2 linked regions of the Tamandua tetradactyla genome follow. The protein of the gene in region 1 purifies or fractionates together with the protein of each later gene. This does not show direct contact. Links are inferred from orthologs where the notes say so. Each region holds a gene or a part of one and is shown on either strand. Other genes may lie near its edges.

Region 1 (15,616 bases):
TGCCGGGGGTTTTCCTTCTGTATCTCCAAATGTCTGTGTCTAAGCATCTGCTTTCTGTGCTGCCCTGGGCTCTTTCTCTCTCCATGAGCACTTTTAAGGACTCCAATAAGCTAATTAAGACCCACTCTGAATGGGCAGAATCACATCTTCATCTAATCAAAAGGTCCTACCCATTAATAGGTCTGACCCTACAAGACTGGATTAACAGAACATGGCTTTTCTGGGGTACATAATAGTTTCAAACCAGCACATTTACCAATCTTACAGAGCTATTCATAACCACAAGAAACATATTTAATTCTTGCCAATTCTTTTTTTTAAATTTTTTTATTCCTAAGCAACATACATGTTAAATTATACAATAAAAAAGTTAAAAACAACAGCATATAAACACATCTTTTTATTTTTATTTTTTCCAATCCTTAAAATGTTGTAAATAAATAATTACAGATACCCTTTTCTATATCACTTTATTCAAACACCACAGACATACATGAAATAAGACTGAAGATCCTCCCCACTGGCTTCTCTGCCACTCACCCCCTTTCTCAGTGATATTCAGAACACACGTTTCTGTCCTTGAGAGGAAAGCCAGGGCCACTCCTGGCAGCACATGGCAGAGCCTTGAGTGAAGCTGGAGCTCCAGAGGATCCTTCCTCACTGCTCCAGCCAGCAAGACGCTGTGTCTACAGGCTCGGGTGGGCGGCATCTGGTTCTGTCCCTTATGCTCCTGTGGTGGCCTGAAGCTATGTACCCCACAAATGATGTTCTTAGCCCATTCCTGTGACTGTGAACCCTTGTAAATAGGACCTTTTGATGAGGTTACTTCAGTTAAGATGTGGCCTAACTGAATCAGGACATGTCTTCACCCTCTTACTGCAGTCCTTTATAAGCAGAATACAATTCAGACACAGAGAGGAAAAAAAGCCACAAGAAGAAGCCGAAGTCAATGGAATCCAGAGAAGTCAGGAGAGGCCACCATGTGCACTGCTACATGACAGAAAAGCCAATGACCAAGAATCACAAGTAGCCAGTCCCAGAACACTACACTCTTCTGGGAGAAAGAACACCTGGAAGACACCTTGATTCTGGACTTATCCTAGCTTCAAAATCATGAGCCAATAAATTTCTGTTGTTTAAACTAACCCATTGCATGGTATTTGTGGTGCCAGGAAATTAAAACAACTCCTCAAGCTTCTTTGTGGACCCACCAAAAGGACTTTTTCTTAGAAGGCCAAGTATTAAATTATAGGCTTGAAGGCCATAGGTCTCTGCTGCAAATACTCAAATCTGTCCCCACCTGTTGTGGCTCAAAAATAGCCAGAGAAAATAGGTAGATGAGTGGGGCCAGGAATGGCCCAACTAAATTTGACTCATACACAGGCTCCTGCTCTAGGACTAAGCCCAATTTAGGTTTAAGAGAATCACAAAGTTGTTAATGGACTGGGAAGAGGTTGCAACAATATTTTCTTGCTTTCATCTTGACTCTGCAGTAAGACCATAAACTCTTAAAGGACAGAGATCAGGATGTAAACTTCCTATAGAACTTCATCCAATGTTTATTGATTGAGAAACCATCAAAATGCACGAGTTATAGGAGTTCAACTGAATTAAATAAGAAGTTCAGAAATGAGAACTGTTGGTTGTTTGGGCTTTAGCACAGAACTTAGTAGTTACAAGGCTAGAGTGTGCCTACTTTTAAAGGTTAGGTCATGTAGATATTTCACAACATGCTCTCGAGTTTATTGGGTGTGTCTGGATAGGAAAGCAAATAATAGGAATAGTTCAGGGAAGGTTAAAAACTTTCTCTTCTGCTATATGTTAGCAACCATAGCAATCTCTAAATTAGACTCTATAAGAAACATATATTACCACATGGAGAAGTTCTGAACATCAGCAAAAGGATCCTACACCCCAGACTGCCTTTAGTGAATCCTGCTAAAGCAGGAACCCAAATGCTTAAATACTTCCTGAAATCAACATTATGTGATTTCTCATTTATTTCTGACACTCAATGGAGTAAGCAGTACCACAGTATTTTACAGGTAAGGAAATTAAGGCTCAGAGACGACATCCTGAGGTCACATGGCTCAAAAATGACAGAACTAGTAATGAGAATCAAGACTTTTGAATGCGAAGTTAAATGGTTTCCACCTCATCTCCCTTGTCCACCACCACACGTGCCCTAGCCACTGCACCATTCAAACTTCACTCCAGTTTGTATACTGATTATCCTCAGATTTGATAATGAATTAGAGACCAGCAGTCCTATTCACTCTGAGCCTACTAAGCATCCCCTTTTTTCTATGCATATTTGTCACTTGTAAAAATGACTAGCATTTACATTTTTTAAAGTACATCTAGGCTAAGCACCACTGGCAGTCCTCAAGCCCTGGCCTGTAGTCTGCTGTCCCACCACAGGTGGGGATGCGCAGGGCTGGGGTCTCCTCCTTTCTCCTGCAGGTGTCCTGCATGGGTAAAGCTAATGGTGGAACCTGGAGACACACCCAGTTCAAGCTCCAGGGAGCAAGAGAGGGAGAGAAGGCTTCTGGCTGACTCTGCTCCCCAGTGCCCCAGGAGCAAGCAGAGAGCCGGCCTGGACAGTCAGAGGGAGTGACATGGGCAATCATGCCCAGAATATAAGCTGCCTGCTGTTTCATCTGGAGTCAGGTAGGCAGACCAACAAATTTAGCAGGAGATCTGGGGTGAATACCAGAGTAGTTTGACTTCTATTTGATGGAACTCTCTGTACCTGTTTTACAGCCAACCGAGTGTGAACACACCCACATAGCAAAGGTACCTGCAGGTGCTTTTGGCTCACCTGTATTTGGGTGTTTACATAGGATGGGCTCAACTAGGCCACATCGTCATTTTACAGATAACCCCTCTAACAGTTTCTTTAAGTGACTAGCCCAAGGTCACTTAGGAGCTCCACCACCCACAAGTTTCAAAAATAACCCAAAAAACCAAAAGACTAAAACAAAACCGTGAGAGTGGATGTCAGTATATACTGTCCATGGCTTTTGCCTATGGAATGTTCACACAGTGTGGCAACAGAACCCATAGGTCAGGTCAGGAGGCCAATTCCATCCCTGATCTATCGGCTATTGGAGAAGCCACACTGGATCCAGGAACAGGTCCTGAATGACATGCCTTCCTGGCCAAGTGGAACATCCGGTGAAACCTCATCCAATTTAGCCTGCCAAGCATAGATAATCCGGTAGTTTAGTTTGGCTGGTGATTGACACCCTTCCCAGAGCTGTGGGTGAAGGGCCTCCTGAGACCAGATTAGAGATATCTTCATCTGAGCTTCAGCTGCAGGTAATGGAACATTCTTAAACACCCTTTTGGGAAAGTGGAGGGTAGGGAAGGGTTACCCACGAAACAGAGATCACATTGTCTTCAGGACCAGAGGGATTCTTTGTTCCGGATAATGTGACAAACATTGAAGGAACACAAAGACCTATTCTGCAAGTCCTTTTCTCTTTGCCCACCCGCTAAAATAAAAAGCCCCATTTCCCTCTGATTACTTTTACTTATTTATGTTAGCAAAAGATCCAAGCAAAGCATGAACTTCACTCTAATTTCATATGGTTGTTCAACTCACCCAAGTCCAAAGGCAAACCCATTCCTGACCTCCTCAGGAAAAGCCATTTTAATAGCTAAGTTTCTACCCAGGCCTCCCTATGTTCCAAGTTCCTCAAGAAAAGCTAATAAAAATTAGTCAGGAGAAATATACACTATTTCTCAAGACTGCACACAGTATTTAGATGACCACAAGGTTTAAAAGCCACGCAGCCTGGTAATGCTACTTCACCAACTGTTAAACATTTAAGAAAGTAAAAATTCCCCCCAAATGAATCTCAGACCTTGAGATGGACAGTCAGTCTGCAATTCCATGACTGACTGTTAACAGCACTCAGATTGCAATCAGGTGAGCTGCTAAACGCAAACACCCCTTCCTGATCCACTCTTCTCCAAGGTTTCCATCCACCTGTTCATGTGTACAGAAAGTCTCTGCAGCAACGAGGGAGCAAACTTTAAAAACAAATAACCGGAGTGCTTCCAGTTAAGATTTAGAGACCCTGAAAAGCCTTACAGGCATTTTGCAAGAGACTCATGACTAACTTCTGACCTATCCCAAATGTCCTAGGAGGAGAGGCACTCAGCTGCCAACAGCCTGGGATACCTTAAGATAAAAGGATTTCAGCGATAAAATAAAGCTTCTTAATAAGGTGAAGCCTGTCTACCACACAGAACTTATCTAAAGTTCTGTGGAAGCTGAATAGCTGTATTTTCTTTAAAACACATTATTGCCACTATTTGCTGAATTTTTATAATGTAAGGCACAGTGACAAGGTCTCTCTATATGTCATGTCATTTAATAACTCCAATAACCCTATAAGGCATCATTTATGCTCAGCAGAAACTGAGGCTGAGTCATTTGCCCAAAATGACAGAGCCAGTGAAACCTGCTTTCCTCTGCCTCCTGTCCTAGCCAGGTGCCCCTGGGTTCATCTACTACCAGAGGCGTGCTATTCCACAACCCGCACTGCTGGGGACCCACAAAGAGGAGGGCCACTCCTCTACTCCCAGCTCTGGGACCCTTATGGGGTGAGCCTCCTCTATCCCCTTCTGAGACCCATATAACAGAAGTTTAAGGGGAGGTTTTTCTAGTCCAGGGAAACACCTTCTCTGCCTTCCCCTCTGATCCACTGGCCCTCTCATTGTTGACACTTTTATGTGAAGGGCTTAATAGGTAGGCGAGCCCCAGAGTTGCCTGTAATCAGCACACCCTTACAGCTTCCCCATGCCCCGGTTTTAAGAAACTGTAGACACACAAATAGAGGTGAGGCACTCATGACCACCTACTCATGCCTACTCTAAACAAAAGCCAGCCCAGGGAATCAGGACACCCGAGTTCCGGGACACACCCTAATTACATGGGGGAGATGGGAAACTCAATTACCCTCCTCTGGGCCTCGGTTTCCAGAGACATAAAAAGGAGTTGATACGAACTTTTTCGTACGCACTCTTTGGAAGACCAATTGACTAATGTCAAGTTCTTAGGACTGTTACAACTTCGTGCTTGACCAATTTGGTTTTGTTTTTTCCTTGCCTTCCCTTCCCCCCCATCCATCCTCTGGCAAGGAAAAGGAAAATGAAGTGGTCGGATCTTCTCAACAACTGTACAGAGTTCGTGGGCATGTGTCACAATTTACAAAGAAAGAAGGAAAAGAAAAAAAAAAGGCAGGGTAATAAATCCACCCACCTTCCTTCCTTCCTTCTAATCCCAAATCCAACACTCAGAAACGAGGTGGCCACAGCTGAAACGAAGCAGGCCACACAAGCAGACCCCACTTTACTCTCTGGCGGACTACAGAGAGGAAAGCGTTGCCCGGGTCAGAAGCCGGAGAGTGGGGACCTCCGGGGACCCAGAGGTAGACCAACTTCCCGGATCCCACCGCTCGAGACGCGCGCCACGTCTGGGAACGGGGACGTCTGGCTGCTGCTCGGCCCGGGCACGGCCCCCGGCCTTTCCGACTCAGGCCCCGCCACAGCCCCCCACAGCCCTCCCGGGGCGCCGTGGCCGCTCACCTGCACGGGACAGAAGTAGAGCAGGAGCAGGACGAGGCCGGGGGCTGAGCCGCACGCCCTCATGCTGCCGGGCCGAGGCTGCGGGCGTCGGCTGCCGCCTCAAGTCCCCGTTCAGTTTTAGGACCCGGCGCGGGTGGACAGAGGGAACTCCGACCGGCAACAGCGAGCTGCGCGCGCAAGTCAGGAAGGAAGAACGCGTCACGGGCTCCTCCTACTTCTGGGCGGTGCCGCTGCAGGGACGCCAAGGGCTAACACCCAGCGCAGGCTGGCGGGATGGGGCGGGGCCTGGCGGGGCGGGCGGCGCCGGGCGGAGGCGGGCAGTTCTGTCTCTGGCAGAGCGCTATCTCCCCGGCCCGACCCTGCCGTTTTCGCGCAGGGTCGTGGCGTGGGATAGGGACTCCCAGAGCTGTGGCTGTGAACCGCTTGAGTTGTGCCAACAGCATGCGGTTTCTGTGCTTTAACTCATTTACCCCCTTTTGCGCCCCCTGGTTGGAGAGGGTGGGCGAGAAGATTTTAGCAAATACGAGTATTTGGAGACGTGTCTTCCCAATTAAGAACCCCTTCTTCAGCGAATTATGAGTTTATTCCGGCCCAAATACACACTCCGAGCAATTTCTCCTCTCAAACCCAGTTACCCAAAAGGAATCTGTGCCAGGATATCCTCAAGCAAAGCTCGGGGCGGCGACGCGCAGTGACCTGACCTTGCGGCGATCCAAGCGCGCGAGGGGCGGAGCGCGGAAGCGGTGCTGCCCTGCGTCCACCCGACTTGGGTTTAAAGGGGCTGGGCCACGTTCGGAGAAAGCGCTAGAAGGGCGCCATCTGCTGGTCAAGCAGTGCGGAGCAGGGGACCTTCCCCACCTCGTAGAATTTGACCCAGAGTCCATTTTTTTTTTTTTTTTTATGGGCATGCACTGGGAATTGAACCCAGGTCCTCTGGCATGGTAGGCAAGTATTCTTGCCCACTGAGCCACCGTGGCCCACCCCAGAGTCCGTTTTTAAACTGCAGGTGAAGTCAAGTAGTACAAAAATTAAGAGGCGTCTTCGTTTTCGAGTTTTGTACTTAGTATTATTTTGCCTTGCACTTATTTTTTAAAATTTTTTTATTGTATAGTATATATATATATATACACACACACACAAAGCAGAGAAATAAAAAAGCAATAGTTTTTAAAGCACTCTTCAAGAAGTGGTTACAGGATAGATTCCAGAGTTTGGCATGGGCTACCGTACATTCCTCTCATATTTCTTGCATTTATTTTTATAGTATGCATTTCTGATAAACTTTTCACTCAGATTTCAACTCTTCAAAACATGCCAAATCATAGGTCATTTCCATTTTGAAGTTACAAATTTCTTGTCCCAACAGTGGAAGCCAGTTTAGAATGAAAAGACTAAATATTCACCTGTAAATATCCACCAAACCCAGCCATGGGTAGGGCTATGATGCAGGTGACGATTGTGATAGTTCCCGTCACTACTCTAGAGAGTGTGTTTCAGTTTCTTTCTTGCATCTTTACCTCCTCAGCCTTGGGGAGGCCACCTACCTGCTTGCAATGAAACTACAGGGATTCCCTCTTGTTGTAGTTGGAGTCAGTTGTCAACTTGGCCAAGTGAAGGCACTTAGTTCTGTTGCTGTGGACAAGAGCCAGTGGTACGTGAACCTCACTTATTGCTCATTACATCTGCAGTTGGCTAGGAGGCGTGCCTCCTGCAATGAATGATTTTTACTTAATTGGCTGGTGCTTAAATGAGAGAGCTCAATGTAGCACAGCCCAAGGAGCGCAGCATTCCTCATCTCAGCACTTGCAGCTCAGCCCAGGCCTTTGGAGATGCAGAAAGAAATCACCCCGGGGAAAGTTGTTGGAACCCAGAGGCCTGGAGAGAAGGCCAGCAGAGACCATCCTGTGTCTTCCCATGTAAGAAAGAACCTCAGTTGAAAGTTAGCTGCCTTTCCTCTGAAGAACTAACAAAATAAATCCCCTTTTATTAAAAGCCAATCTGTTTCTGGTGTGTTGCATTCCAGCAGCTAGCAAACTAGAACACCTCTGGACCTTCAACCTAGCTAGCTCTTCCGTCAATATCTGGAACTTCCTAACCCTCACCTGAATGTATGCTTGGTAGTTGTCGATGGTGATAAGCAGTATGCTCTAATGCAGTGGTTTTCACAGTGTGGTTACTGGACAAGTAGCCTCAGTGTCTGCTGGGAGCTCCATGCCAGAGCTGCAGAATCTGAGTCTCTGAGGATGGACCCACGCACTTGGGTTTGTTTTTTTCTCCTCCAGGGTTTTTAAGTTTTATTTTTAATTTAACTTATGTAGTTTGGCTACATACAAAGGTTTCAGTTTTTCTTTCTCTTTTTTTATGATCATTCCATTCTGCATATGTAATCAATAAGTCACAAAATCATCACATAGTTGCGTATTCATCATCATGATCATTTCTTAGAACATTTCCATCGATTCAGAAAAAGAAATAAAAAGACAACAGGAAAAAATTCATACATACATACTCCTTACCCCTCCCTTTTATTGATCACTAGCATTTCAATCTAAATTTCTTTTAACATTTGTTCCCCCTATTATTTATTTTTATTCCATATGTTTTACTCATCTGTTGATGAAGTAGATAAAAGGAGCATCAGATACAAGGTTTTCACAATCACACAGTCACATTGTGAAAGCTATATCATTATACAATCACCATCAAGAAACATTGCTACTGAAACACAGCTCTACATTTTCAGGCAGTTCCCTCTCCATTACATCTTGACTATCAAGGTAATATCTATTTAGTGCAGAAGAATAACCTCCAGGATAACCTCTCGACTCTGTTTGGAATCTCTCAGCCATTGACACTTTATTTTGTCTTTTTTCACTCTTCCACCTTTTGGTCGAGAAGGTTTTCTCAATCCTTTGATGCTGAGTCTCAACTCATTCTAGAATTTCTGTTCCACGTTGCCAGGAAGGTCCACACCCATGGGAATCATGTCCCATATAGATAGGGGGAGGGCAGTGAGTTTACTTGTTGTGTTGGCTGGAGAGAGAGGCCACATCTGAGCAACATCCATGAATGATGGACCTAGCATCACTTCATTTTGCTTATTTTTGTTTCCACTTTTCCCTTCCTTTTGCTCAGAATCACAGTAGGACTTCCATGGACCCTAGGCACCTTTGCCTTCATGAATCCCTAACTCCACAAACAAAAAAAAAATTATTTTACAATTGCATTGGTATAAAGATAAGCATAATCCATGTCATATTCATTATTATATATTATTATTACATACTCATTTTTCTTTTTCTTTTAAAATAAATTAAAAATTAAAACCCGATAAAGTATCTTGGGCTGTAAGCGCTGTGCCTAATGTGGTTAATGGAGAACTTGGCCCTGCTTTTCTGCTAATGTCCTAGAACTACCCGTAGTATTCACAGGTATTGTAAGTTTTGCTGATGGTCTGCTCAATGAAAGGTACTGGGTCTAGGACCATAGCTAGAGCTGGATATAAAGAACTATCTGTAGACAGGAGGGTGTCCTGCTGACTACAGGGAACAGGAATAGGTGGCCAGCTCTGTCAGTCTACAAAGAAGCCAAAATATTTTGATGAAATATAGGAAACTTTGAATTAATGCTTCTGCTAGACCCCTAGGGAGTTTCAGGTTGAACATTTTTGTATACTTCTTTTTTGTAGTAGATTTCACTCTTCTTAAAAACTTTTTAATTATATATATATAATTTTAAATTATGTATAATAAAGTTTATATATGTATATATATATGTATAATATATATATATGTATATATAAACTGTGCAAATCTTACATGTATCGCTCAGTGAGTTTTTATATACTTGTATTAGTTATCTATTGCTGCATAACAAATTACCCCATACCTTAGTGGATTAAAAGAATGAACATTTATTGTCTCACTGCTTATTTCAGCCAAGAATCTGGGTGGTCCTGGGTCAGGCTTTCTCCTGAGGTTGTTATCATGATGTTGGTCCAGGCTACTATTTTCTAAGGCTTCACGGGAACTAGAGGAGCCGCTTCCAAGAGACCTCATGTGGCTCTGGGCAGCAGGCTTCAGTTCCTGGCTACGTGGGCCTCTCCATACATTGCTTGAGTGTCCTCGAGACATGGCAACTGGCATGGACAGAACTCAGAGTAAGTGGTCCAAGAAAAAGCAATACTGAACCTCACAAGTGACATGCCATCATGTCTGTCATAGTCTATGGTTACCCAGATCAGTCCTGAAACAGTGTGGGAGGGAACCACACCAGGGCTAGGATATGGGGAAGAGGGGATCACTGGGGTCATTTTGGAGACTCGTAACCACCACCTAGATGAGAATAAAGAACATTCCGGCACTCCAAATTTTCCTCATGCCCTTTCCCAGTCAATATCATCACCCCAACACCACCAAATATAACCAATATTCTGACTTATATGAGCATGGCTTATTATTATTATTATTATTATTATTTTGGCATGAGCAGGCTCCAGGAATCGAATCCGGGTCTCCATCACTGCAGGCAAGAATTCTGCCACTGAGCCACAATTGCCATGGATTGATTTTGACAGTTCTTAAACTTCACGTAAATGGAAGCATACTATATATTCTCATTGTATTCTACATTACCTCTTCTTTCTCTCAAAATCATGCCTATGACATTCATCTACACTGCACATAGCAGTAGCTCATCTTTTTTATTGCTGAGCAGTATTTCATGCTGTAAATATTCTTTGGTGGACAGTTTTGACTATTATGAATAAAGTTGCTATGAACATTCTTGTATATGGATTTTTTTGACATATGCACTCAGGTCTTTTAGGTTCTGTAACAGACTTAATTTTTTTATTGGAGAAGTTGTAGGTTTATAGAAAAATCATTCAGAAAATACAGAGTTCCCCCATATCCCCCCAAGTTTTCCCTATTCTTAACCCTTTGCTTTAGTGTAGTAACTTTGCTATAATGATTAAATGATATTATTTTAATTGTACTGTTACCTATAGTCCATAGGTTGCATCAAGGTTCATTTTGTTGTACGGTTCTATCATTTTTAAAAAAATTTTTATTCTAGTAACATATTTTTATGTTTATAAATTTTGACTTTATTGAGTTTATAATTTAGTGGTGCATTCACAATGTTGTGCTACTATCACCACCAACCATTACCAAAACTTTTCCATCACCCAAACAGAAATTCTTTACCCTTTAAGCAAAAAATCACATACTTAAGTGAATTTTACAGACATCATTTAAAATAGTTTACAGTTACAACCCATGATACAACTTAGGGCCAGTGGTTACAACTGAGTCAGAAATGGTGCATTGTTGGTCAGATTTAGGATGAAATGTTAGTCACCCAACTAAGCATACATGAGTTAATGATTAATTCAGTCATGGGTTGCAGTGTAACTTCCACTTAGATGTGGCAATAATTTGCAGCTTAACAATCAGTGGTTCAAGCTGATAGTCCCTTCTCTGTAGGACTTCTGTCACTTGTCACAGTTTTGTTTGCCCCAGGGTGATTTTTGGTCTACCCTTTCCTAAAGTCGGGAGTCCTGCTCCTAGTAAATTGGAGTAGGGATAATACCAGCATTTCCCTCTTTAAAGATCAGAGGATTAAATCCTAGAGAGGGAGGGAAAAAGAAACAAAAGAACCAAAAATAGAGGAAGTGATTCATTTCGTTGACAAAGAAATCGTTGACATTGCATCTAAGAATTGAAGATTTTTAGTAAGTTCCTTCAGTTGTTAAAACATGACTTCACGAGTATTTTTTAAATGATCTTGTTTAAAATACTGCTATAAATAAGGGTAGGGGCACCAGGAAAAATTTCTAAAACTTCCCAGACCCACTAATACATAAATTATTTAACTGAAAGTCAAGTATAATCAGAGAGCCTAGAGAAAATATTTTTATTGGCATTACTGTTTTACCTCATTGTGTTCAGTAAGTTAAACAGAGTAAAGAGGTAGGCTGGACACTTCTTAGGATAGAGGAGAATGAAAATTATTCTAATTTTTGTTCATAGAGTATATAACTTTTTGTGTGTGTGTTCTAGTTTGCTAGCTGCTGGAACGCGATATACCAGAAACGGAATGGCTTTTAAAAGGGGGAATTTAATAAGTTGCTAGTTTACAGTTCTAAGGCTGAGAAAATGTCCCCGTTAAAACAAGTCTATAGAAATGTCCAATCAAAGGCATCCATCCAGGGAAAGGTACCTTGGTTCAAGAAGGTCGATGAAGTTCAGGATTTCTCTCTCAAATGAGAAGGCACATGGTGAACACAGTCAGAGTTTCTCTCTTATCTGGAAGGGCAAATGGTGAACACAGTCAGGGCTTCTCTCTCAGCTGGAAGGGCATGTGGCGAGCAAGGTGTCATCTGCTAGCTTTCTCTCATATTCATGAAACATGACACTCCGGGGAGGCATTTTCCTTCTTCATCTCCAAAGGTCACTGGTTTGTGGGCTCTCTACTTCTTGTGGCTATGTCATTCTTCTCTGCTCTCTGTGAATCTTCCATTCTCCTAAACGTTTCCTCTTTTATAGGACTCCAATAAACCAGTCAAGACCCACCCAAATGGGTGGAGACATGTTGTCACCTAATCTAGTTTAACAACCACTATTGACTAAATCACATCATCCAGGGAGATGATCTGATTATAGTCTCAAACATACAGTATTGAATAGGGATTATTCTACCTTGATGAAATGGGATTGTGATTAAAACATGGCTTTTCTAGGGGACATACATAATTTCAAACCAGCACAGTGTGTGTGTGATTTTCCTCCACATTTTGAATCACAAGCAAGTTACAAAATTACGAACTGATGTCGGATATATGGTTTGAAGAATCAGAATATGGCATTGCACTGGTCATGGCTGGGCAATAATATGGCTCTCCCGGACTAATTTTTAGCATTTTTTCATAGGGAGATAAGATTCACAAATTAAAACCAATGAACCAGCAGAGATGAATATATTTTCTCTCATTTAAGTATGAAGATAGTAAAACATTTACTTACAGGACTATCCACTTTGTACCACACATATTTTGCATTCCCATTGGTGGCACAAAGTAATCACTTTGATATTGCCTCAATCTTGGGGACATACAAGGCGCCACGAATTCTGATAGCTGTCAATGATTCCTAGAAAATCTCAGAAGTGGTTTCACAAATACAATTCTCCAAATATAACTAGAGTCATTTCAAGAAAACTATTTATTTTAATTTAATGTCACCCTAGGCCCTGACCAGTCATTGATCCATATTCTCCCTGTCACAGGGTCAAAGTTCTTTGAAGACTGAACAGGTTCACCAAGGACAGCACTGTGGAGCAAAAGAAGTCTCTGCCATTATGTTATATGCTTACATTTCTTCTGGGGCTTGTCCAATCCTCTCGAAACTTTTCCTCACTTGATTTACATTTCCCATGGACTGTCCATTTCATCTCATCTCTTTTGCTGAGTTCCCTTCTTCCTTGAAAGTTTCTTCATCAGTTTAACACCTCTTTTCTTCCACTGGAGCCTCCCTGGGGGACCTCATCCACCCTATGACTTTGGCTATTGTTCTGGTTTGCTAGCTGCCGGAATGCAACACACCAGAGACGGATTGGCTTTTAATAAAAGGGGATTTATTTTGTTGGTTCTTCAGAGGAAAGGCAGCTAACTTTCCACTGAGGTTCTTTCTTACGTGGAAGGCACAGGATGGTCTCTGCTGGTCTTCTTTCCAGGCCCCTGGGTTCCAACAACTTTCCCCAGGGTGACTTCTTTCTGCATCTCCAAAGGCCTGGGCTGAGCTGCTAGTGCTGAGATGAGGAATGCTGAGCTGCTTAGGCTGTGCTACATTGTTCTCTCATTTAAGCACCAGCCAATTAAGTCAAACGTCACTCATTGCAGCAGACACACCTCCTAGCCGACTGCAGATGTAATTGGCAACAGATGAGGTTCACGTACCATTGGCTTATGTCTGCAGCAACAAGATTAGGTATGCTCACCTGGCCAAGTTGACAACTGAATCTAACTAACACAGCTATTGTCTCTAAATAGATGACTTCCACTTTAATAACAACAGCCTGGTCCTTAACATGAAGCTGTTACTTCCAACTGCCTCCGAGACAACACCTCTTTTTAATATTTCATAGATTCTTCAAACTGAACATGTCCAAAATCTCTATCTCCTCCCAAATTTTCTATTCTTCCCTATGTCCTACCATAGATATGGCATCATCCACCATGTAAGTCTTATGTTCAGAAAAGAGTAATCATTTTGGTCTGAGACTACTCTTCTTAGAAAGGTCCACCTATCCGGGAACTTGGCTGGCAAACAGTTCTCAGCACTGATATAAAACTTGCCGTAAATGTGCCTAAACTGTTTGTACAAACAATGTGGTTTGTGCTGAATATCTGCTTTCCCTCTGAAAGTCTGGAATTTTGGTAGCTAATAGGTCGAGGGTGTCTATGTGAGTGGCTCCCAATAAAAACCTTGGGCACTGAGTCTCGAATGAGCTTTCCTAGGCGACAACACTTTGCATGTGTTGTCACAAGTCATTACTATGGAAATTAAGCACATCCTGTACAAATGCAATGGGAGAGGACTTCTGGAAACTTGAATTCATTTTTCTCTACCCTCACTCCTTTTCTCTTAACAGATTTTGCTTTGTATCCTTCTGCCGTCATCTTAGCCATGAATACAACTATATGATGAGTCCTGTGAGTCCTTCCAGCATTATCATCAAAACTGGGAGTGGTTTGGGGCACTCTGACACCTTAAAGGGGTCCTTAACTCTCTTTTCTGTAATTTCTATATTCAATTAGTCATCAATTATTATTAGTTCTACCTCTACAAATTAAAAAAAATATGTCCTATATTCTCCACCTTCACTGCTGTGATACTAAAACTGTGACTCCATCTGGAGACCACTGTCCCCATCCTCACTAAACAAAGCAAAGCTGTAAGATAAGGATAACAATAGTTATTTTCTATGGTTATTATCACCAGTAATTGAGAAAATACATATACATTTTATGAGATTGTATATGTGAAATTCTTGACCCATCACACTTTCTAAACAAATGTTCTGTTTTTATTGTTGTTAATAATCTGTAGATTCCTCATCTGTTTAGTTCTAGCACCAAATCACCTTGTTATGAAATTAGGAGTTTAGTTTCTCACCCCTACAATCTGCCCAACTCAAAATGCAGGTATCTCCGTGTTCATGGATTGGAAGACTAAAGATAGTTAAGATGTCAATTCTACCTAAATTGATTTACAGGTTCAATGCAATACCAATTAAAATCCCAAAAAACTTACTTTTCAGAAATAGAAAAACCAATAACCAAATTCACCTGGAAGGGCAGGGTGCCCCAAATAGCTAAAGAAAGGAAAAAGAATTTGGCAGTCTCATGTTACCTGATTTTAAGGCATATTATGAAACTACAGTGTTCAAAGCAGCATGGTACTGGCATAAAGATAGATATACTGACCAATGGAATCGAATAGAGTGTTCAGATACAGATCATCTCATCTAAGGACAATTGATCTTTGTTAACGCAGTCAAGCCAACTCACCTGGGACAGAACAGTCTTTTCAATAAATGGTGCCTAGAGAACTGAATATCCACATGCAAAAGAATAAAGAGGATCCATATCTCACACCTTATACAAAAATTAACTCAAAATGGATCAAAGACACCCCCTATTCTATCTTTTTTTTTACTTGGATGGTGTTTACACAGGAGTTGTCTCAGAGTTATTTATTACACAGTGTGTTTATTTTATGTACTTATCTGCATTGTGGAATATTTCTTAATAAAATGGTTTTTTAATTACTAAAAAAAAAAATAGATCAAAGACCTAAACATTAGATCTAAGACCATAAAACTGTTAGAAGAAAATATAGGGAAATATCTTATAAATCTTATACTAGGAGGCGGTTTCCTAGACCTTACACCCAAAGCACAAGCATTGAATAAATAAATAAATAAATGGGAACTCCTCAAAATTAAACACTTTTGT
Region 2 (15,529 bases), on another chromosome or scaffold:
ACTAGTGAAATGTTTGGGGCTAGTGATCAAGAAATTTAAACAGTACCAGTCAATATAGTTATATGTTTTCTCCAGCAAAATTCGCTGTACAAGGGCACATATAGGGAAACCCAGATTTAACCAGGGTTGGGAGTTTTACCGAGAAAGTAAAGAGGAAGCAAGGGAACTGAGATACATTAAGTGAGTGACTCTAACGCTTTATCATGGAATCTGAGCTGGATAATGGAAGAATTAAGCCAAATTTAGCTTTTGCACAAGGTGATGCAGGCAGGGAAAGGGGAGGGCCTCTGACCCACGCTTAGAACTGGTGCCAAATCCTTAATGGCCAGGGTCATTAAAATGTAAAACATAATCAAAGGGGGATCCTTCGGCAGAAGTTCAAATTAATTAGATTATCTGGATAGGCTGTAACCTCTGGAGCATACAATCAGCAGAGAAACAGGGGAGGGTCTGTGTGCTGGTTTGAAAGGATGTATGGACCCTAGAAAAGCCATGTTTTAATCAAAATCCCATTTCATAAAGGCAGAATAATCCCTATTCAATACTGTATGTTTGAAACTGTAATCAGATCATCTCCCTGGAGATGTGATTAAATCAAGAGTGGTTATTAAACTGGATTAGGTGATGACATGTCTCCACCCATTTGGGTGGGTCCTGATAATTTTCTGGAGTGCTATAAAAGAGAAAACATTTTGGAGAATGAAGGAGATTCAAAGAGAGCAGAGAGTGGTGCAGCACCATGAAGCAGAGCATCAGTCAGTGCTTTGGAGATGAAGAAGGAAAACACCTGCCGAGGAGCTTCATGAGACAGGAAGCCAGGAGAGAAAGCTAGCAGATGACGCTGTGCTCACCATGTGCCCTTCCAGATGAGGGAAAAACCATGACTGTGTTCACCATGCACTTTTTAGATGAGAGAAACCCTGAATTTCATCGGCCTCCTTGAACCAAGGTATCTTTCCCTGGAGGATACCTTTGATTGAACATTTCTATGGACTTGTTTTAATTGGACATTTTCTCGACCTCAGAACTATAAACTAGCAACTCACTAAATTCCCTTTTTTAAAAGCTGTTCCGTTTCTGGTATATTACATCCTGGCAGCTAGCAAACTAGAACAATCTGCAAGCCAGGCACCGGTATAATCATTTCGGCGTTCTATTTTTTGGTATGCCAGCCACCATTTTGTGTTTGTCTAGGCTGCCCATTTTTGCAAGATTGTGAATAAATTCTTGTCACCATCACAATCGGATGAGCATTTGTTCTCCTTCAGGTACAGCGTTCTTCCTAACAGATAAGGTGGGAAGAGAAAACAGATAGGGATGAGTGACAGTGAACAGGTGGTGAATTAGTGGACTGCAGGTCAAGTAATTTTTGAAGGTGAAGTACACTTCAGAGTATAAACTAAAAAGATAAGAGGTGATGATTTTGGAAAATGGGATCTTGAAATTGAGATTTTGGAGGGGTGGGTGGTGACAAAGTTATTGGAGAAAAAGAGGAAAAGAGGTCATGCAGTGGAAGCTAGGTATGGAAAGGTTCGAGATATGGATGTTGAAATCTCCAAGAATTTTGACACTGTAGTAAATGAGAGTGTTTATGAGCCAAGACCTAGAATAATCAAGGTCAATGGGGAAAAACGATCCTCAGGGTGAGGGCATCAATAGATAACATAAAAACTTTAAGAGAATTTTCAAAGAAAACATTGAGGATATTGAAGATATAAGTGATTTTGTTAATGACTAAACAACTTTGGGAGTTGGAAACTGGAAAAGGTTTTTGGAGTTGTGGTGGAGAAGTGGGAGATGGGAAAAAGTCTCAAGCCATAGAGGCATGAGGGTCTGGAGGGTGAGGGTTGACGAAAGTTTTCTTGTGGGGACTGCAAAAAATAGTGATAAAGGGCCTAATGAGATGACACATATACTGGAGATGAGGCAGTGAGTGTTGGAAAGGAGCACACGTTCTAGGGCTTTCTTGGCACTCTTGACAATAAAGGCAGAGAAGCTGTAAGAGGGCGGGACATACGCTAGGCACACACAAGTAACTCTGCAGATATCTTTTCAGCCCATCCCCCACTCTCATCTTCCATTTGTTTCCAGGCTCTGTCGAGAGATGTCAAATAGCTTTCATTCCCCATGGAAAGCTAGTGACTGCATGGAACACTGCAGTGTGAAGAATTTCAAGACCACACATTCAGAGTCAGGAGAGAGGGGAGATGGCTGCATCAGTGCCAATGTCTGCTTCTCCTAGTTTAGGGTGAGTCCTAAAACTCAATTCAATTCCTAGTTCTCCATCCTACCTTTCATGTTTCAAGCCGTCTCCTAGTCACTTATATTTTTATGATGGTTTCAGGACATTATCTGTACTACTTTTCTTAAGGCCCAACTTCAAACTTTCTTGAAGGTCATCTACTCAGCTTGCTGAGTTCTGGGCCAATGATTCCCAACTCTCCATTTCCAGATAAAACTTCATTCTTGAGCATTAAAAACTTGTCTTTTGGACTTTGAGCACATCAAATATGTATTCCAAAATGTAGTCATCATTCTCAGGGGAAAAGCTCACAGCTAGTTCACTCTCATTCACTCATTTGATCAACCCAAGTGTATGAGTTAGGGTTCTTTAGAGAAACAGAATCAAGAGGGAATACTTGCAAATATAAAATTTATAAAAATGTCTCACGTGACTGCAGGAATGCAGAGTCCAAAATCCACAGGGCAGGCTGTGAAACTGACGACTCCAATGGAGGGTCTGGATGAACTTCACAGGAGAGGCTCACCAGCTGAAGCAGGAATGGAACCTGTCTCCTCTGAATCCTCCTTAAAAGGCTTCCCGTGATTAGATTAAGCATCACACATTGTAGAAGACACTCCCCTTTGGCTGATTACAAATGGAATCAGCTGTGGATGCAGCTGACGTGATCATGATCTAGTTCTATGAAATGTCCTCATCGCAACAGACAAGCCAGCACTTGCCCAACCAGAGAAACAGGTACCACAACTTGGCCAAGTTGACACATGTACCTGACCATGACACCAAGTCATCTTCAATGCCTCCTTTCCCCCACAACATATCAGTCACCCTTTTCTATTAATTCCAACTCTGAAATTCCTTAAATCTGTTTCCTTTTCTCCTTCCCTGCTGCCTCTGCCTTGTTCACATCTGTACCTTTTCTCTGGTTGACTTGGAAAATAGATTTTACAATCCACCACACAGCAATCAGATTTATCTGTGTAAAATACAAATGTTTTCTCTTCCTTGAGGTCTTAGCGGCTCTACAACACACGCAGGATAAAGAATAAAGTTCTTAGCCCTGACACACAACACTGCATATGTTTGTCCAGGTGCTCATCTCTCTCAGCAGACGGCAGTAGACTATGATGGCTGTCAAGGTAGGAAATGTAAACCTCCATTATCACTGAATTATCAGTAACTATTTGGAAACACAGGATATATGCAATAAATGATAAGTGAATTAAAGCAAGTAGGCAGAGAAAAAGTATAAGAAGCAAATAAGTTTAGACTATCTCTTGTGAAAATGTACATGAGATCATTTTCCAAAACTCTTACTATCAGCTCATTCATTTCTGCTCTTACCAGGGATAGCAAAGGATTAAAAATCTGTTTATTTGACAATTAACAAAAGATGTATCAAGGGTGGGGATAGGGTCTGGGCATACATTTTTTTAATATTGGATCCTAGATTTAGCATTTTCCATTTTCCAGGAAAATTTTCTGCACTTCTTTTTTTAAACAGAAGTGTGATGGTAAATTACTTAATCTGTGGCTTAAATTTCCTTACTTGTAATTGTAAATGTAAAGTATATGGAATAGAAGTGCCCCATAATTAATAGTTGTGATAGTTACTTCAACTGGCCCTTCATTAAGCCCAGTAGCTTCTGAAAGGGGATGCACATATGGTTCATTAATAGAAAACTAGAAACAATTTTGCTATTAGACAATAAAAATAAAACCATGCTTGGATTTCTTAGAATAGGGCTCAGGCCATACAGATGGAGATATGGAATTCCTGTCTCTGGTCTCCCTGCTTCTTCTCCTTCCCAGCCTTTTCTATCCCTCTGTCCTCTCCTCCTAGGATTCTGTTGCCCTTTGGAGAAAGGCAGCAAAGTTCTGTGGCCCTCTGTGGAAACAGGCTTAGGTCGAGTGAGGACAGGAGGGCTATCTGATCTAGACTTCGAATTCACAAAGAGCCTTCAAGGCTGACTTTCAACATTATCTCAGATTTTGTTAATTAATATGTCATAGAAATACATTTACGGGACTGAAAAATCATATTCATTTAAAATTTGAGTTCCATGACTTGTCTCCTTCTCTAGTGAGCCAGGAAAAAATATTTTTTTATAAACTGCATATTTTTATGACTAGCACATTATAGCATATTTTATTTTTGTGTGTAATAGGTTGAACCATTTGAAATTGTTGATTTTTTTTGGGGGGGGGGGCGGAATGCATCGTCCAGAAATTGAACCCAGGTGTCCTGCATAGGTGAGCATTTTACAACTGAATCACCTGTGTACCACTGATATTTGTTTCTGACCTCTACAAACAATTTCATATGGTTCAGGTTGAACTATGTAAATAGTTTAAAATATAGAACCATTTCTTCTACTTCTGTTACAGCATTTCTTCACTGTCTTAATATACTGGGATTCTCAGAAAATGGCTTGGCTGATGGGGGTGAGGGGAATCGCCTTCATTCTTGGAGCAGTCCCAGAGCACAGCATCTACAAGAAAACTCATTCTCTTGCTGAAAACAACCATCTCTTATAACATATCTTCAATGCATTTTTGTGTTGAAAGAGCTACTTCTTTTTTAAACAGAAGAATGAAGAACTAGGAATAAAGGGGATATTGGAGAGACCTCCATCACATATTATATAAAATGACAATAATCACATCACCTACTTCACAAAATTACCATGAACATTACATGTGATCATACACTGCAAGGAACCTTAAAGAGTTAAAGGTACAATCACAAAATCCAATGCCACTTAAAGTGTGGTCTAAGAACCATTTTCGGTCTGTGAAGCCTTTATTTCTGTGAGATAAGTATGAAAAATTGACAGTAAGTGTCTAGGAAGTGTAATAGAAATTTGACAAAGTAATTTCATGTCTGTTATATCAAATAATAAAGAATCCGAAAATCTGGAATTGTATTTTGTAGGTCAGATTTTGTATTTCATTCTATAGTAATTTATTTTCATTGTATTGTTCAAAGGTGATAGACTAGGAATGAAGAAAAACTGGTCTTTCACTACTGATAGTATGAGAAGCCTTGATCTATGGCTATTTCTGAAATTTTGCTTAAGATTCATTAAATTCATAATGATAAACTAGTCTTAATTTTTATTTTTGAAACCCTGTTTCATGCCAGTATTTCATACCATCTGGTAACATGCCAGCATACAAACAGTTTCCAGAACAAGTCTGCTCTGTATTGAGTAACTTGGTTATTTGGTAGTCAGCACTCATTTTCCTCATAAAATAACTTAGGGTTATATCCTTGGCATAGCTTGTAAATCCAAGTTATCTCAAAAGATTGCTAAGCTATACTACAAAATTTAATAACTAACTATAATATTCTTATGATGGAAAAGATAGGCCTCTGATTTGCAACTCAGAAAATCTCTCTTTCCCATTGCCTGTGAGAAATGATGGTTCCTGGACCTAACATGGGAGTGGGAGCAAGGATGGAACTACTTCTGTAGAAGTTGCTTCAGTAGCAAAATCAAGTAGAAGAGTATGGGGGAATTAGAAGGTCAAGTGTGAGGGAATTCACTGGCCATGTTAATAAAATTAAAAAGAGAGTACTCTGAGATTCTCTAAGATTGAAATTAGGCAGGTTTTGCTGGATTCAAAACCCTGACTCTTTATTGCAACTGCCTCCATGTGCTAAACTTCAGGACAATGGGCTCCTTGAGTGACCCAGCACCAAGATGTCAGATGGACTTCATTCTGAATTGAGGGCTGTCAGCAACTATCTTGAGGGTTTTATTTGTCTTTTACTTTTTTTTTTTAAAGATAAGGTAAGGACAATTCTGGGGTTAGTAAAAATATTGCTCTGATCAATTAGCGATGTCTATCATGGGCAAGGGAAGAAGGGAAGGCCAACAAAAGAGCTGTTCTTTTGCTATCCTGCATCGAGTCTGAAAGGTGCAAACTTTCAACCCTTTCATTTCTGTATTACAGCAGAGACCAGGAGGAATTAGGAAGAACATGACTCTTCCGAAAATTTAGGAAAAAACAAAAGATGTGAAGGAATGTGAAGGAATAAAGAAAAAATATATAATAGGGAAACTTACCTGTTAAGATTGAGACAGGTATAATAAGTGAGTACATCTGAAAGTTGCTAATGGTTTTCAGTTTTTATAATATATAGGCAGAAATGGCCACAGACAATACATAGAGAATCCCACACAATTTGGTCATCTTATTTTCTTATTTACAAGCTAAGGTTTTCTCACTTTGTGGCACATGTGAGGAGGCATCTGATCTGGTTCCTGACCTAGTTTCCATGAGCCAGAGATTTTTTTCCTTGGCTCTACCTTGGAAAACTTGGGAACAAGACTCTCAGACATAAGAAAGAAGGCCACGCAATAGTCCCGGGCCCAGTGTTTTAGATCCTCATTCTAAATATGGAGTCCATATGTAAGGGTCTTCTCTTCTTCAATTATTGACACCAAAAATATCCCTAGTGAGAAGATCCCACTACAGTACCTACAAAAGCATAGATAATCTTACCCTATGGTGGGGTTCTTAATCCAAGTAGTCTATGGACAGAATTCAGGGGAAGTTTAAGAAATTGGATAAGAAAAAAATAGGCCTTTATTTTCAAGTGTAACTTAGCTTTTTTTCTTCATTTATGAAGGTTAGGCACCAAACTGCAGAAGCATTAGCAGCATTCGTGACTTTGCTACTAATGGAAATGATAGCTATTTTCATTATTACATTGCAGTTGTTGCAGATATCTCAGGATAACATTTACACTGGTCACTGTTTGAAGATGATGCTATTTAATGTGTTAATAGTGTAGCACACATATTACTATCAGCACAAATTTGTTTTAAATATTTTCACAATCGCATTTCAACCTCAGCGATATCCTTTACAATCCGATGTATTTGATTGGATGCACACAATAATATACATTATTATGAAAAAATATCTGTAGGTTTACCAGACTGCCAGAGCAGTCCAAAATACAAGAAAATTAAAGCTCCTGCCTATCTACCATCCAACATAACACAATATTCCTTGGGTCTGAATCAGAAATACATAAATGCAGAAGCACTGGGGTCAGTTTCGGGGGGGATGGGTCTGGAGGTAGGGCAGAGGAGATGAGAAACTGGCAACTGATTTCATTTACTGGTTGCCCATAAAAGCCACAGTTTATTCTGAATTTATAATTGTCTGTGGCCATTTCTGCCTATATATTATAAAAACTGAAAACCATTAGCAACTAATAAGTGAGATGTACTCACTTATTATAACTGTCTCAATCTTAACAGGTAAGATTCCCTATTATATGTTTTTTTCTTTATTCCTTCATATTATTATTGTTAAAGAAAAAAAATCTACCTTCATTTCTGTAAGCTGAGTTTGGATCAAAAAGAACTTAGGTTTCTAGTTCAAAAGAAATATTACTAGAAACATGATTTTTCTTTCCTCCCATTTATATGTTGTTATGCAGAGTTGCAATTTCAGTGTGAAATGTTTTAAGACATGTTCCAGTTTCCTTCTCCTATAATAAAAAAAAGGATCTTTATAACTTTACTCTAACCGTATCTCATATCACATACAAAAATCAACTCAAAATAGATTAATGACCTAAATGTAAGAGCTAAAAGCATAAAGTAGTTAGACAAAAACAGGAAAACCTTCATAGAGTCTCAGATACAACAGCAAAGCATAAGCCACAAAAGAATATAAAGAAAAATTCTAATTCTTTTATTTTAACATCTAGAATATATAGAGAACGATAACTGAACAACAAAAAGACAATCCATTTTAAAAATTTGGGGGACATTTCCCCCCAAAATGGATACAAATGGCCAACAAGCACATGAAAAGAAGTTCAGCATCATTAGCCTCAGGGAAATGTAAATCAAAATCACAACGATATGACACTTCGCTCCTACTAGGATAACTACTATTTTTAAAAAGAACACTAAAATGTTGGATAGCATACAGGGAAATTGGAATTCCCAGATGCACTGGTGGTAATGTTTTCCCCAGCCACTGGGGAAAACAGTTTGGAGGTTCCTCAGGAAGTTAAACATAGATTTACCAGGTGCCAGCAATTCCAGTCCTAAGTATATACCTAAAAGAATTGAAAGCAGGGACTCCCACAGATCACTGTACACCAATGCTCATAGCCAAAAAGTTGAAACAGCCCAAGTGCCCATTAAGAGATAAATGATAAAATACAGTGTATACATACAATGAGACACTATACGGCTGTAAAAAGCATTGAAGTTCTGATGCCTGCCACTACATGGACCGATCTCGAAAACATTAAGCTAAGTTAAATAAACCAAATACAAAAGGATACATATTGAATGATTCCACTTATTTGAAATATCTAAAATAATCAAATTCAGAGACAGAAAGCAGATTACAGGTTACCAGGACCAGGGTGGGGGTGGGTGAAGTTGGGGACTAGGGAGTTTCTGTTTAGTGGGATGAAAGTTTTGATATTGGATGAAGATGATGATGACAGAAACACAACATCATAAAGGTAATTAATGCCACTGAACTGAATTTTAACCATTAAAAATGGTTAAAATAGTAAATGTAATTGTTGTATTACCACAAAAAGTAAATTAATTAAAAAAACCTTTATTCTAGACTGTGCTTAACCGACTGGACTAAGGTTTCTCCTTGAAGATTAGGGAATTGACAGAGGTACACAGGCTGCTTCAGGGTTGTGAGTAGTTTGAGAAAGGAGGTGAAAGAATTGTTTCACACCGGCAGCCTAAAGAAAGGCCCTGGGAGACCGTTTCCCCTCCCGGGAAAGTATCTAGGGAAATAGGTCTCTGGTGAAATGGCCAAGGGCCAGGCCCAGGGCGGAGCCTGGCCGCTGGGAGACGGAGCCCGGCTGGGGCCGGAGATGGGGCGGAGCCGGCCGGCCAAGCGAGAAGGGGCCGCCACCCACAGTGCTCCCGGGCTGGGCGATCGGCGCTCCCAGCTCTTGCGCCATGGGACGGCTGGTGGCTCTGGGTCTCCTGGGTATAGCGCTGACGCTCCTGGGGGAGAGGTTCTTGGCGCTCAGGTAGGTGGGACCGTCTCGGACCGAGCCTTGGGGCGCGCTGGGCGCCTGGATGCTCCTTCCCGGGAGCTTCCCCAGGCCTGAGTCCTCGGTTTGGGGAAGGGGAAGGGAAGACCTTCGGGGCAGCGGGTGGTGAGCGCTCAGATGGGTGGAGGACTATTCTCCCCGCTCGGGAACCGCGGCGAGAGGTGAGGAACTTTCGATTGCTCTGTGCACCAGCTTGTTGAACACTCCCACCTCCAGCTTCTGGTAAAACTAGCAAAGTTTGGGCCGAATCTCGTGATATTTTATAAAGTTTATAACTCTTGACCACTTGCAAAGTTCCTTTCTGCCCGGGACAACCTAGTGTTTTGGAATTATCCAGGAGCAAACCCGGTGCTTTAATTGGAAAACAAAAGTATTACTCACGCATCGAAACTTTAATTTCTTTCAGGTCATTGGTGCTGCTTTTCTTTGTTGCCCAAATCGGCGCCAGTCCTTAATAAAGTTGTTTTGCATCCTTTTCCTCTTAGTTTGAGATTCTCCTGCTCTCTAATCTCGGCGCTGTAGATCAAAAACCTTTGAGATATTCAGCTACTGTTGTTACATCACTTCTTTATTTATCTATTCAATCCGGAGGCCTGAGTCCAAAATGCCAGTTTAAGCATTCCTAGGAGATATTGGAGTTTTAGTTAAAAGGAAAAATCGCTGGTGGATATACATATTTTTGAAATCACTAACTTAAATTTGATGAGCCTCAAGCAAACGAATTCAAGAAATATTGAGCCACCCAATTGTACATAAAGTGCTCTCATAGGTTCCTGTAGTACAGGAAGACACTAACTTTACTTTTAAGAAGTTTACTGTATTATAGGGGAGGAGAAAAATAAACAAATATAGTATAAATTGGGATGTCCAGACAGGTACAGAAGAACCCGTGTAGGCCTAAAAAGGAGAGATTACATCCTACAGTCACAGTTCAGGAGACAGAACAAGTCATTTGACATTGGCCTTAAAGGATGGTTGAAGCACTCATATGTGGGGATGAAAGAAGTCATTCCAGGTGGAAAGTGCAGCATGAGCAAAGGCAGTAAGAGGTTTGGAGACTAGCAAATAGACCAATCCGAGGGGAGAATAAAGTTAGAGATGAGAATCATAGGGGTTGGGGGAAGGATAGGTTCTGAGGCTGTTCAATTTAGGTTAAAAAATGGGGCCTACTTTTTTTTTTGATAGGCAAAAGGGAACCTGGGATATGTATATATCAACAGAAATTTGAGCCTGGGAGGATGGATTGGAGTAGAGGCCTCAATCCTAACCTTAGGATCTCCTGGAGAGCCGATTCTGATTCCATTGGCCTGGCTGAGGCCCACACAGTGGTGATTTTTATTTTTAAAACCTCTACTGATAATTCTAATGTCTAGCTACAGGGAAACTAGTTAAGGTTTTAAAATAGTTTGGAAAGGGTAACAGGGGCCCAAACTTTGAAACCTCAGAGATGAGAAGCAGTCCTGATAAAGCAATACAAGGTGAAAGAACGGTGCATGACGGGGGGCAGATTTGGGGAGGCGGAGCAGTGAAGGGACAGAGACAAAGTTTTTTTGGTAGGAAATGGACACATTGACCCTCATTTTCATGTTATGTAGATGTCCATCCTGCTCTGCAGAACATTCTTGAGTTAGATGATTTCATATGATCTGTTTAGCCCTCAGTTTCAAAGGCAGGACCAACAAAATTCACAAACCCACAAAGTTGTCACTAATATTCAAACTACCAATGCTTCATCAAGTTGGAGTTTTCATAATTAAGTCTTTTCTTCTTCTTAATCTTAAGATTTTAAACGTGTCGTTTTGAATGACAAATATTGCAAACCTAAGGAAAAGCAAAAAAAGTTTATTGACATAGGACCTTATTGACTTAGGTACTGACACACCTAGCATACCTTATGCAATTTATAATTTGACACATATTTTCCTTATAAAAGACATGGACATATGATAAACTTTACAGGACAGTTACTTTTGGGGCAGTAACCAATGGGTAGTAGAGCCCATATTGGCTGATGTGAGTATGTTGGTATGGGCATAGGATTGCCAGCTTTAGCAAATAAAAATCCAGGATGCCCAGTTAAATTTGAATTTCAGATAAACAATGAATGCTTTTTGTATAAGTACGTCTCATGGAATATTTGGGACATACTTGTACTAAAAATATATTTATCATTTGTCTAAAATTCAAACTAACTGGTGCCTCTGTTTTTAGAGCTAAATGAAGATAGTCATGTGATTGAGGAATATTGAGTGCCAACTGTTTTCAAAGTGCAGTGGACTGCTCAAAGGTACAATATGTCTTCTCTCAGAACCTTAGAGTCTATTTGGAAAAACACAATGTTCCCACTGCCCTGTAAGGCAAGGCTGTCAGAGGAACAGGAAGGAATAGAGGCATTTTGATGTTATTTTCATGCTAATCTAATGTTTATGATTTCACTGTTCTATTTTTAAAGATGGTACTTTATCACTCAGGTTATAGTCCCAGGTAGAAAAATGTAATCAAAGTTGTCTTTTTCTTTCTAAACTGTTGCTGGCTAATGTTTCCAGGGGAAGATGGCATAGCAGACCCACTGTTTCCACTCTTCCCTAGTTGAACAATAAAGGAGAAAGTGGGGGAAAAAAATATTGCCAGTTCAGGTACTCTGTGTTGCAAGATATATGGCTTCAAGTGAAGATGTGGGTGTTGTCAGAGACTCTCTTAAAGATGGGTAAGGAACCTTAAAAACAAGTGTCTGAACATTCCGCTTGATGACTAAGACCCTTTAAGACTGCTCCCTTAAGAGACAGTTCAGACTGTATTTGAACATCTCTGAAGGGGCAGCCTTTCTTCTTTCCTAACCACTAGCCTCCTTTATTGTGTAAATATTATGTACAGTGTACTGCACAAAAGGTGTAAAAATTGCTTTAATTAAACCAAAATGTGCATTTCCTGCCATTTGGAAAGAAAGTCACCTTGTATATATGCCTTCATTTAGTCTACATAAACTTCTTCCTTCTTGTATTATAGATGTAAAAACTGGAGGCTTGGAGAGGTTAAACAGGTAGTCCAACAGGTTTTAGTACCTGGTCTTTGGATTCCAAGTACAGTTTGCCCCAGTTCTGCCACACCCTGCTTTCTTCTCCGCCATTGGAACGACATTTCTCCAGCTTTCCATGCCTGAGCCTACATTATTAATTACTTAATGCAGGATTTACAGGGATCCAAGGAGTAAATTCCAAGGAGTTTTACAAAGTCTGTCTCTAAAAGATAAAACTTTTTCTTTAAAAGCTAAATTTTTTTTTGCTTAAATGTACATAATAAAATGGATATAATAAAATAAAATAAAAGTATAATAAAAGTCTACATAAAAGATAAAGCCCTTGCTTATAAGGATTTCATAATCTACATATTCCAACCCATTAGTTGTTTGTGAACCCAAAGGCAGTGAGATATGGAACAAAGTAATGTGTAGTGGTAATGCCGTGCTCCCAGCCTGCTGAAGGCATGTTGGCACCACAGCCTGGTGCCCCTCACTGGTACCAGCTGGGCTACAAGGTGGTAACTAACAGCCCCAGAGAAGAACACTTGTCTCATTTCACTCTGAAAGGGGGATGCTGTTTCCTAAGTGAAAAAGATAGAGAGTGAGTCACGTAAATGATTGTTGGTTCATGCTTTGTGGTCAGACAGTCTGAATTCATTTCCTTAGCTCCACTGTTTATGAGATCCGGGGCTTGTTATTTCATCTTTCTGTGCGTCAGTGTCCTAATCTTTAATATGGGGATAATAAAACCACCTGCTCCATAGTGGGATTGTGAGAAATAAATTAGTTCATTTGTGCAAAGTGCTTAGATCAATGCCAGGCACACAGTAAGGGTCCAATAAAAGTTCCCTTTGATGACTGTGATGTTCAGGTAACAATCCTTAACTGCTGGGGCCATGGACCCCTTTGAAGTCTGGTGACACTCTGACTCTTTCTCAGCATAATGTTTATAATGCAAAAAAAATGAAATACATGACTAGAGCTAAAACTTATATGATCAAACTATTTTTAAAATCTAATTATGATATGTGTTTCTTTATGAGAGTACTAAATGGATCTAGAGGTAGGTTTATACCTAGCAGTAGATATTTTGAAGTTGTGATAAGTGTAAATGTTATTTTGAGATATCTACAATAACTGAAATGTTATATAAAAATATCTGTGATTTCTCTTGGTGACAGAATGACAGGTGCTGCTAATAGTGCTATGATCTGTTGCCCACATTCATTATCAGAGGAAATACAGTTAGAGGTTAGCATAAAGATGTATTTTTCCCCAGTTCAAGTTCATGGAGCTCAAAATTCTATCAGTGAACCCCTTGAAAATCAGTGAACCCTAAGTTAAGAACACTGATGTGCATGTGTCCTGTGGGGGGTAGGGAGTGGGGGCGGGGGTGCTCATTTCGGGAATGATTACTGGCAATCAGTGAAGGAAGCTGGTATACACTCTTTCCTATATTATACATACTATATAATTGTAACTAAAAAGTACTTAACAGAATTGTAAAAATAGAGAGGCAGAGAGAAAAATTGAAGGAACCTAGAACAGAGAAAGCAAGCAGTTTTCTTCTTGAGTGCCGATTTTAATAGGTAGGTAAGTTTACCTGGAACATTGTGACTGAGGCTGGCTCTAGGTTAAAGGGAAAGAGGGCTGTGATTGATTAATGATGTCTGTCTGCACGATAGCACCGTGGCAACAGCTATGCCGTTTCTGACCTGGTACATTTATAGACCCTATAAACATTCAGAGTTAGGGAGAAAGTAGACTGAAGCAGAAGTAAAAAGATTTTCCTCCTCGCATATCATCACGTATTGATGTTTATAATATTTATCTTACTACTTGTCTGTGTATGTGTGACAGTATTTTTAGACTTACTGATATGCTAGCCCAAAGAGGTTTATTTAGCTTTCTCTTGTATATTCCCTAAACTCCTTGAATGTGTTACCAATTAGAAATGTTCTGAGCTTCAAGTAACACAAGCAAATTAATGGTGGCTTAAAAAAATAAGAGTTTATTTTTCTCGCATGAAAATAAAAATCCAGGATGCCCAGTTAAATTTGAATTTCAGATAAACAATGAATGGTTTTTGTATAAGTATGTCTCATGGAATATTTGGGACATACTTGTACTAAAAATATATTTACCATTTGTCTAAAATTCAAATTAACTGGTGCCTCTGTTTTTAGAGCTGAATGAAGATAGTCATGTGATTGAGGAATATTGAGTGCCAACTGTTTTCAAAGTGCAGTGGACTGCTCAAAGGTACGATATGTCTTCAACCTATATAAAATAATTCTGTAGGTTGGTCATTCTAGGGCTTGTTCAATGAATCGGGTCATGTCAAGGAACTGGCTTCCTTGATCTTTCACTGTTTGCTTTATATCCTTTATTCTTGCCATGTCCAGGTTGCAAAATGGCCACGGTAGCCCCCAAGCTTTTAGCGCTCCTCTTGGATCTGCCTATTCTACCGGGAACAAAAATATCTTTCCCAAAAGCCTAGATCGTAGGCTTACCCCTAAATGCAAAGGAGCTAGATAAGCAAATGTTTGGCTTGCCCATCGCTATAAAGGGAAGCAGTAAGGGAGGAAGGGGGATGAAAATGACTTTATGTTTGTCAGTCAGCAGACTTGGCCAACCTGGAATGCAGAAATTCACTAATGAACAGGGAACCAATAGTTCTACCAGGCCAAAAGCCTAGCACTTTTCTGCTGAAGAAATTTGAAATTCCTAATGGACAAAGAATGAGAGCAAAATCCTCTCTCCTTTTTTTTTTTTTAAATCATAAAAAAAAGCCAAGAAAAGATGAGTTGATTAACTAAAAGCCACGTACAACATTGTGTAATTCTGCAGTCTTATGGCAGTCCACATATCTAAAGTGATACTGTGTAATTACTGAACTGGTTTATGAAGATTGTCCTGTTAGCATAAGGATAATGGTCAATCATTTATGCAAAGCAAAGTTGACTATGAAAATTTGAAAATATTTACCCAGCACGCTCTATTACACTGTTCAAATTTTGTTACCTCAAACAGATATGTTTAATCCATATAGTTTATCTTTGAAATAGGTAGTCATAATTATTGTCACTATTTTTGTTCAAATAGGAATAATAGTAAGTTGTATAAAATTGACAATAATACCAATGTACAATACAAAGACTTGATGTAGTAATCACAGTTGTTACCCACTGACCTCTTTCTA

What was found.
Region 2: the proteins of NPC1 (region 1) and PON2 purify together in Homo sapiens (affinity purification with mass spectrometry; 3 studies listed by BioGRID and IntAct, with this or other methods). This does not show direct contact. The link is inferred for Tamandua tetradactyla from reciprocal best matches to the Homo sapiens genes NPC1 and PON2.

The regions. Positions count from the first base shown.
Region 1 is NC_135344.1:59,856,735-59,872,350, reverse strand, and holds the start of NPC1 (NPC intracellular cholesterol transporter 1), read right to left. Parts: upstream 5,785-15,616; 5' UTR 5,662-5,784; coding exon 5,599-5,661; intron 1-5,598. UniProt on the Homo sapiens protein: Intracellular cholesterol transporter which acts in concert with NPC2 and plays an important role in the egress of cholesterol from the endosomal/lysosomal compartment.
Region 2 is NC_135327.1:120,444,770-120,460,298, forward strand, and holds the start of PON2 (serum paraoxonase/arylesterase 2), read left to right. Parts: upstream 1-9,113; 5' UTR 9,114-9,210; coding exon 9,211-9,284; intron 9,285-15,529. UniProt on the Homo sapiens protein: Capable of hydrolyzing lactones and a number of aromatic carboxylic acid esters. Has antioxidant activity. Is not associated with high density lipoprotein.